Linked DNA regions of Rattus norvegicus. Each later gene encodes a partner of the first gene's protein in a complex. Links are inferred from orthologs where the notes say so. Each region holds a gene or a part of one and is shown in the gene's direction. Other genes may lie near its edges.

Evidence for each region.
Region 2: Gtf2a1 (region 1) and Polr2c share a complex: the UniProt entries of both Homo sapiens proteins name them as parts of the TBP-based Pol II pre-initiation complex. The link is inferred for Rattus norvegicus from reciprocal best matches to the Homo sapiens genes GTF2A1 and POLR2C.

The regions. Positions count from the first base shown.
Region 1 is NC_086024.1:116,235,174-116,238,738, reverse strand, and holds part of Gtf2a1 (transcription initiation factor IIA subunit 1), read left to right. Parts: intron 1-733; coding exon 734-938; intron 939-2,518; exon of another isoform or gene 2,519-2,661; intron 2,662-3,445; coding exon 3,446-3,513; intron 3,514-3,565. UniProt on the Homo sapiens protein: TFIIA is a component of the transcription machinery of RNA polymerase II and plays an important role in transcriptional activation. TFIIA in a complex with TBP mediates transcriptional activity.
Region 2 is NC_086037.1:10,163,606-10,167,953, reverse strand, and holds the end of Polr2c (DNA-directed RNA polymerase II subunit RPB3), read left to right. Parts: coding exon 1-32; intron 33-159; coding exon 160-212; intron 213-1,728; coding exon 1,729-1,857; intron 1,858-2,190; coding exon 2,191-2,242; intron 2,243-2,416; coding exon 2,417-2,585; intron 2,586-2,706; coding exon 2,707-2,781; intron 2,782-3,350; coding exon 3,351-3,495; 3' UTR 3,496-3,806; downstream 3,807-4,348. UniProt on the Homo sapiens protein: Core component of RNA polymerase II (Pol II), a DNA-dependent RNA polymerase which synthesizes mRNA precursors and many functional non-coding RNAs using the four ribonucleoside triphosphates as substrates.

The DNA.
Region 1 (3,565 bases):
AGTAAAGTTTCATCAGGTAGAATTTTCCTGTAGTGACATCCTGTCAGGAGTCAAAAAGGTACAGATTTTAGAACATTGCAGATTTTGAGTTTTTAGACTAAATATGTTCAACCTATAGAAGTGACTAAGCAGAAAGTGAATGTCAGTCGTCCATATTGGGAGAAAGGACATTTCAGGAGGTGTAGAGAGAGGATTGGGATGACCATTTCAGCATCACTTTCTTTAACATCAAGGTTAGACAAACAGAAGGAAGTTGACCTGTCTTAATTTAGAATGCCTTTATTTCTCATTATTCTCATTAAGGACAAATGGGTGAATAGTTCTCATGTTGACTCCTATTGAAGAGATAGGAAATTTGTATTGAGCAAAGTTCCATAAAAGCAATTACGTAATGATTTTGAAATAAAAAGTAAAAAGATAAGCTGTGATTATTCAGGGATTGACTCTGGGAACTCTGTTAACAATACCTGACAACTGAGGTGAGGAATTACTCTAGAAAGTTTCTTGGAATGTAAAAAAAATTTCTTCAGCATAATAAACATGAGGTCTGATTAAGGTTTATTTTCCTTATATAAAACTTGGGTAAGAAAGGTTAATTCATGTGTGTGTGTGTGGGATTGTATTATTTCTTAGAATGGAAGAAATTTACAAACACGTAATAAATTAATGTTTTGCCTATATATCCAGAGTTTTCTTGAAGTCACTGAGAAGTCTTTATTGTTCTTTGTCTTAGTTGTGGGAGAATAAACTAATGCAGTCTAGGGCAGTAGATGGATTTCATTCAGAAGAACAGCAGCTTTTGTTGCAAGTTCAGCAGCAGCACCAGCCCCAGCAGCAGCAGCATCACCACCACCACCACCACCAGCAGGCGCAACCTCAGCAAACGGTACCTCAGCAAGCACAGACCCAGCAGGTTCTTATTCCTGCGTCACAGCAAGGTGAGGAGGCTAGAGCTCCCTGTCGTGGCTAGCAAATTGCACTTGTTTTTCAAAAGTATTCCTTTGACTTGAATTTCATGGATCCATCATCTTTTTTAAATAGACGCTGGGATCGGGTGATCTATGTGATCTTTTTCTTCTCTGTTGGCTGGTAGAGTGCTCGCCTAGCATATATGAAGCCCTGGGTTCATACATGAACCCACCACTGCATAAGCTGGGTATTGTGGAGCACGTCTATAATGCTAGCATTCAGGAAGACGCAGGGTGAGATATTAAGGTCATCTTTAGTTATTTCTGTAGAGAGTGAGTTGGAACCAGCTTTGACTACTTGAGACTTTGCCTCCAAACCAGCAAAACAAAATAACAAAGGGAAAAGTTAAGAAGAGCATCCCTGGGAGGGGAGCTACAATATGTGAATGAGCTGAGCTAGGGACCAGGTAGAGAGACTTGGAGTCCCAAGAGCATAAAGGCAGAAGACCCCTGTGGGGAGATAGGTAGTATAGACAGAGTCCCAGAAGGTTTTGAGCCAGCGAATCTGTTAAATATATCAGAAACATTACAAAGAAACCTTGTGCCACATAGGTTGGAGGTAAGGATCCATATTCCACACTTTGTATATATTGTATAAGAAAAAAAGAAAATGGGGATCCCCACCTATACAGACTTATTTATAAAGGGATTCATCATTTAATATAAGGTAGTTTTTCTTTATGAAACATGTTCTTTCAAAGACATGTTTGTTTTGTTTTGTTCTTGTATCTTCAATACTGAAGAAATTTTGTAACTTTGGTAGTCTGAAAATTTAGTCCACCTTTTAATGCTTGATTTAAAGAAAGAAAAAAGTCATTTATTGACTCTGCCATAGTTTGCAAAAGTCAAATCATGTTATAGGTCCTGTTCTGTTAACTTTTATTGGGGTGTTTGCAGAATAGCTATTAGCTCAATCTCACAGTTGAAGAAAATCTGGAAAGATTAAGAATCTGCCATACCATTCAATTCAGCACTCAGGAGGAAGAGGCAGGCAGATCTCTGATTTCAAGGCCAGCCTGGACTACAGAATAATATCCGGGACAGCTAGGGCTACATGGAGAAAACTTGTCTCAAAAAACCCCAAAAACAAAAAAGGATCTCAGTACATAAAAAGGATCTCCGCCATACATAGTTTTTTTTTAATATGACAAAAATCTATTGAGTTACAACATTTCCTGAATCTTATAGTTAGATGAACTTGACTGGCAAGGAAACTTCAGGTGAATGAAAGCGTAGTTTAAGGTGGTGACTGTCCGTGACTCATTTGCTTCTTCTGTGAGTATGTGAAATGCACAGGGAATAGTTACATGGAGCAGAAAACCTATACAATTTGGTTTACCATTTACAGCTAATAGATTCTGAGGATCTTTTTTTTTTTTAAAGTTTTGTATATTGTGTGTGTGTGTGTGTGTGTGTGTGTGTGTGTGTGTGTGTGTGTAGGAGCGATAGTCCGTGGCTTGGTGGCAACTACCTTTGCCTACTGAACCATCTCACCAGCTCTTCATGCCTATATTAAGTCTATACCATAAAGTAGACATCCTTTTCATCTTTGATGACTGTTCCTCCTATTGCCTATAGGCATGGCACTAGGATTTTAGGTCATCATAAATTAAAATTGATTTTTTTCACTCAGAGAATATCAAGATAATGGGATTATCTGTGTATTCTCTGAAATTTGCGGGGTCAAACAATTACTTCCGCTTTTTAATTAACATTGCCATTGTTCCTTGTGTGTGTGATGTTGTGCGCACATGCAGATGTAGGTGCTCATGTACTGTGGTGCATGTATGGAAGTCAGAATACAACTTTAGGTGTTGATCCTTGCTTTCCACTTGGTCTGAGACAGCATCTGTGTGTTTTCTGCTGTATGCACTAGGCTACCCACCCTCAAGCTCCCCTCAAGCTTAGCGCTCTTCTGTCTCTGGCCCACCCTCCTGGTAGCTCCATACAACAGTGGTATTAGGGTGCTCATGCTATTATGGCTTTTATGTGTGTTCTGGAGATTCAAAGCAGGTCCTCCTGCTTGTATAGCAAGCATTTTTACCCACTGACTTGTATTTTTCAAATAGTTAATTAAAATGCCTTGACTGTGGTAGCAGTCAGGTTGCTAGAAAAGGTTGTAGGGTTTTCGTTTGTTTTTAGAACACTGCTTTACTATGTCGACCTGGCTGGCCTTGAACTCAGAGTTCTATCTGCCTCTGTTTCCTGAGTGCTGGTGTTAAAGGCATGCACTGCAATGCTGGCTAAGGTATTGTCATTTTATTAATATTTTTCAATATAAAATAAATGTATTCTAGCTGTTGATTTCCATAGAAAATTTTTTAAAAGTCTAAAATAGCAAATACTTTGAGAGTATTTTCAAGTAGGAAATGTAACAAAATCATGAAAAAGGTTTTGACATTTTATAACATTCCTGCAGCTCTGTACCCTTGTTTGTAAATGGACCTTTTATTCTTTTTTTTCTTCTATTTTTGTAGCTACAGCACCACAAGTTATTGTTCCTGATTCTAAGTTGATACAACATATGAATGCATCAAGTATTACGGTGAGACTTGAACATGGCACTTTCATCGGCTTTATTTATTTCATCTAAAATG
Region 2 (4,348 bases), on another chromosome or scaffold:
CCTTCATGATGAATTCATCGCGCACAGGCTTGGTGAGTGCCGGTGTTGAGGAAGAGATCAAAGTGGGATGCTCCCTGTCCCTAGCCTGCCTGACCTCTGAGGTTCTTGTGGTGGCTTGGCTGTTGGCTGTTCTGCAGAGCACTTTTCTGTGTCTTGCAGGTTTAATCCCCCTCACTAGTGATGACATTGTGGACAAGCTGCAGTACTCCCGGGTACGTGTGTTGGCAGATAGACAGGAAGCACAGGTCGGGGGAGGGGGGTCCAGTTCTCCCTGGGATCTTTCTGGGCATCTTCCTTCCAGCTGACTGTAGCATGCTCATTGTTGAGATGATGTCTTAGTAGTGTGGTCCTTGGTTCTGATGGGGCTTCACATTGCTCTCAGCACATCCAGGCATCATCACGGGCAGGTGTGGCGGCACATGCCTCTAGGCTCAGCTTGGGAAGCAGAGGCAGGTGGATCTGTTTGAGTTCCAGGACAGCCAGGGCTGTACAGAGAAACCCTGTCTCAAAACAACCAAAAGGGTGGGGGAACACAGCCACTTTTATGTGTGTGTATGTCTGCCTCTGTCTGTGAAGGTGGGCTAGGGTCAAAAGAGGGCATCGCTCGGAGCCCCTGGAGCTAGTTATAGGCAGTTGTGAACTACTGGGTGTTGCTCTGGCAGCTGAGCCGTAGTCACTTTTAACAGCCAGCCTCACACCCTTCATCCACTTATTGTTTCCATTTTTTGTGTTAGTTTTAAGGAACTCTCGCTATGTAGCCCTGGCTGGCCTTGAACTGAAATCTGCCTGCCCTGCCTCCTGAGTGTTTCCCTTGGTCATTAAAGGCATGTGTCCCCGTGCGTGTCTGAGAAACAGTAATAAATCCCCCTTTGTTTTGTTTCTCTGTGGTTACCAGATGATAACGTTTTACTACGTCTGCCCTGTTCTTCCCTAAGAAAATAAGCTGCAGGCGCCCTGCCCTTGCCTTCTGCGCACTTGAGCACAGATCAGTGTGCTGCAGTCCTCTACGGCTGTGTGCCTGTATCCCACCATTTACAGGGTTACCTAGTGAGAAAAACTCTGTCTCGGAACACACAAAACATCCACAAAGAGTGGCAAATGTTGATAATTAAGGAAGCTGGAAGGTGGGCATATGACAAGTGGCCATCTGTCCTCTCTGGTTCTGTATGTGGGTAGAATTTTCCATAAGAAGTTTTGAAGTAAAGATTACTGGATGTTGTGACACGTGCCTATAATCGTTCACATGGCAGTAGTAGCAGCAGGAGGATCAGTAATTTAAGTTTCACCTACATCCTAAATTCCAGGCCAGCCTAGGCTGTGAGTGCCAGCCCCCTCCTCCCCAAGTAATCTAGAACTTCAAAGTTGTTTGGGTTTTGGGGGTGTTTTTGTTGTTTTTTGTCTGTTTTCCTGTTCTTCCCTTGTTTGTATTTTCAGTAATTCCCAAGCTGATCTGCATAGACAGAACTCTATTGTTGCATAAAACCTTGGTCCTCTCTAGGCACTGCTGAATTAGCAGTGTGCCCCCTAGTGGTCACCTGTAGCAGTGGCCCTGGAAAGGAAGTGTGGTTGCCAGCAGGTATACAAGTTACCATGAGGTGAACCAGATGTCACAGCCCAAAAGGGCCTGGGACTGGGGTCACCCCTTTTCACCAAGAAGAAGTTGAAAGGAGCTGGTTAGGAAAAGCAGAGAGTCCAGTCTTCCCGATCCAACTGCCCTTCCTGCCTCAGGACTGCACATGTGAAGAGTTCTGCCCAGAGTGCTCCGTGGAGTTCACGCTCGACGTGAGGTGCAATGAAGACCAGACGCGCCATGTTACCTCCCGAGATCTCATCTCCAACAGCCCCCGGGTTATCCCGGTTAGTGCCTTTGCTCTTCTCTGCCTGGCTCCAAGTGGGGTAGATTAGAGTGGGTCTTTTATGAGATGCTAACCTACCCTGTGATCATCTACTTTAACTGCCACCTAGACGTGCTGGCCCTGAGTTCCTGAACAGAGCAGTATTGGGGCCATGTGCCCTATGTTGTCCAAAGACCCTTTTAAAGGCCACGGGGCTCTTTGGACAACTCTGCCATCTCCTTCTCAGCCTCCTTTCCCCGGCTTGGCAGCTTACAGGCTGGATTTACTGAGAGACAGTTGCCAGAGGTGATTGAGAGGTGAGAGGCTAATGCATACTTGTTTGGACTTCCTACAGGTGACATCCCGGAACCGGGATAATGACCCCAATGACTATGTGGAGCAGGATGGTAAGGGGGTCGGGCTGGATGGGAAAGGGATGGGGCAGTCAAGCTGGTGGTCAGAGCAGAGACCCTTTTGAGTCGCCTGGTCTCTTGATATTTTTCTCTTCATGCAGTACTGCAGGACACAAGTTGGAGAACTTGTCCCTTTTGTTTCTGCCTCACTCTCACCTCTCCCTGCAGACATCCTTATTGTCAAGCTGAGGAAAGGCCAGGAGCTGAGACTTCGAGCCTATGCCAAGAAGGGCTTTGGCAAGGAGCATGCCAAGTGGAACCCTACTGCGGGGGTAGCTTTTGAATACGATCCAGACAACGCACTTAGGCATACAGTGTATCCCAAGCCTGAGGAATGGTATGTTCTGGGGGGAGGGGGGAATAGCAATGGCTGTAGTGAGATTTAGGTAGGTGGGTGCTCTGAGAGCCTTGCTAACAGTAGAAGCAGCCACCTTTGCTTTACCTGTGCTTGCCCTCAGGCCAAAGAGTGAGTACTCTGAGCTGGATGAGGATGAGTCACAGGCTCCCTATGACCCCAACGGCAAGCCAGAGAGGTAAGACCCCAGTCCTGCTTGGGACTGTAATTGTAAGTGTAGGTGTGGGAGGCTGTTAGGCAGTCACACACCCAAGCTCACCACACCACACCCCATCCCCCACTCCCACCCTCATCCCCACCACGTGATAGAACCAACTGCCAAACTCGCACATCTTGAGTTGGTCTTCATCCCTCTCTAGTCACCATAAAGAAAGGGACCTTCTTACTGCCCCATGCTATTTCTGGCCTTCCTGTTTAGGCTCAAGCCAGAACAAATTAACCATAGCCCTCCCCTGAAGAACTGAAGAGCTGTAGCCAGAATCGTGTTTGGTTTTCTTCCTGCTGTCTCCAGTGTAGACATGCACGCCCAGAGTCATCTTAGGGTTTTTACAACAATGCCCTTTTCGTAGCTTCCCCGAGGAACTGTGAAGTGGGCCTGGACCACTCTGCGTAAGGGGTTCTAGGGAAAGGGAAGTCAGCCCTGTCCTAAGATCAAAGGCCTCGTAGGAATGGAGTCCAGTCTCAGAACGAAGTCTGTTTGAAGCCCAGGCTTTGCCTCATGAGAGCTCTCACCCCCTCGTCTCTCAGGTTTTACTACAATGTGGAGTCATGTGGCTCACTGCGCCCTGAGACCATTGTCCTCTCAGCCCTGTCTGGGCTAAAGAAGAAGCTGAGTGATTTACAGACCCAGTTAAGCCATGAGATCCAGAGTGACGTGCTCACCATAAACTAGCCCGCCTGCTGCGGAGACTAGGTTCAAAGTTGACCGGATTCCAGGCCCTGGGGCCCTTCTGGTTTCTGGGCTAAGGACTGCGCTTGCTCACGTTGCCTCCTGGAAGGACATCGGAGAGATGGCCAGGGGTTCCACTGGTGTTAGACAAGGCAGGTTTTATAGGGGTTTAGCATCCCTGGCCCTACATAGTGGTTTTCAGGCAGCCTAGGGGGAAGCACACACTAGTACAGAAAAGGAGTATTTATTGATCAACAGTAGCTGTCTTTTTAAAAGTTTTTATTTTTGGCAATAAAGAGCACAACATAATCTCCTTCATGCGTCATCGTGCTACTAACTGAGCCCGTTCTGCCTCCCTCCCAAGGGCTTAGGCCCATTTCCTGTACAAACTAACTGACCTCTGGTGGTCGTTCCTGGGTCACAGTCAGAGTTGGGCTGGCTCTGCCACTTCCCTGGCTCCAGGGCCCCCTGAGAGAGGCCCCCTTATCATTCTGCCACACATATGAACAGTGGTTATTTACAAGGTCTGTTCCCACAGAGCAGATCCTAAAGTATTAAAAAACAGAAACACGCAACAAAAGGTTGGATGTGAATAGAAAGATAGCCCTTCTGCACGGTAGTCAATAAATACCAGCACTAGAAAATCAGTTGCTTTAATTGCATTTCAGCAGGGAGCCTCAGCACCGTGTGGGGGAGATGGGAAGGTCTTAGTTTTGGAATCTGGCCTGGGGTGGCTGGCCCAGGGCAAGGGACTCCCTTGCTAGAGCACTATACCCCTGGTCAGTGAAGGGGGCAGCCAGGTGCTCCCCACAGCAGGCCCGCTGCAGCCTTTGGGCTGGTCCCAACTGTCCTCTAC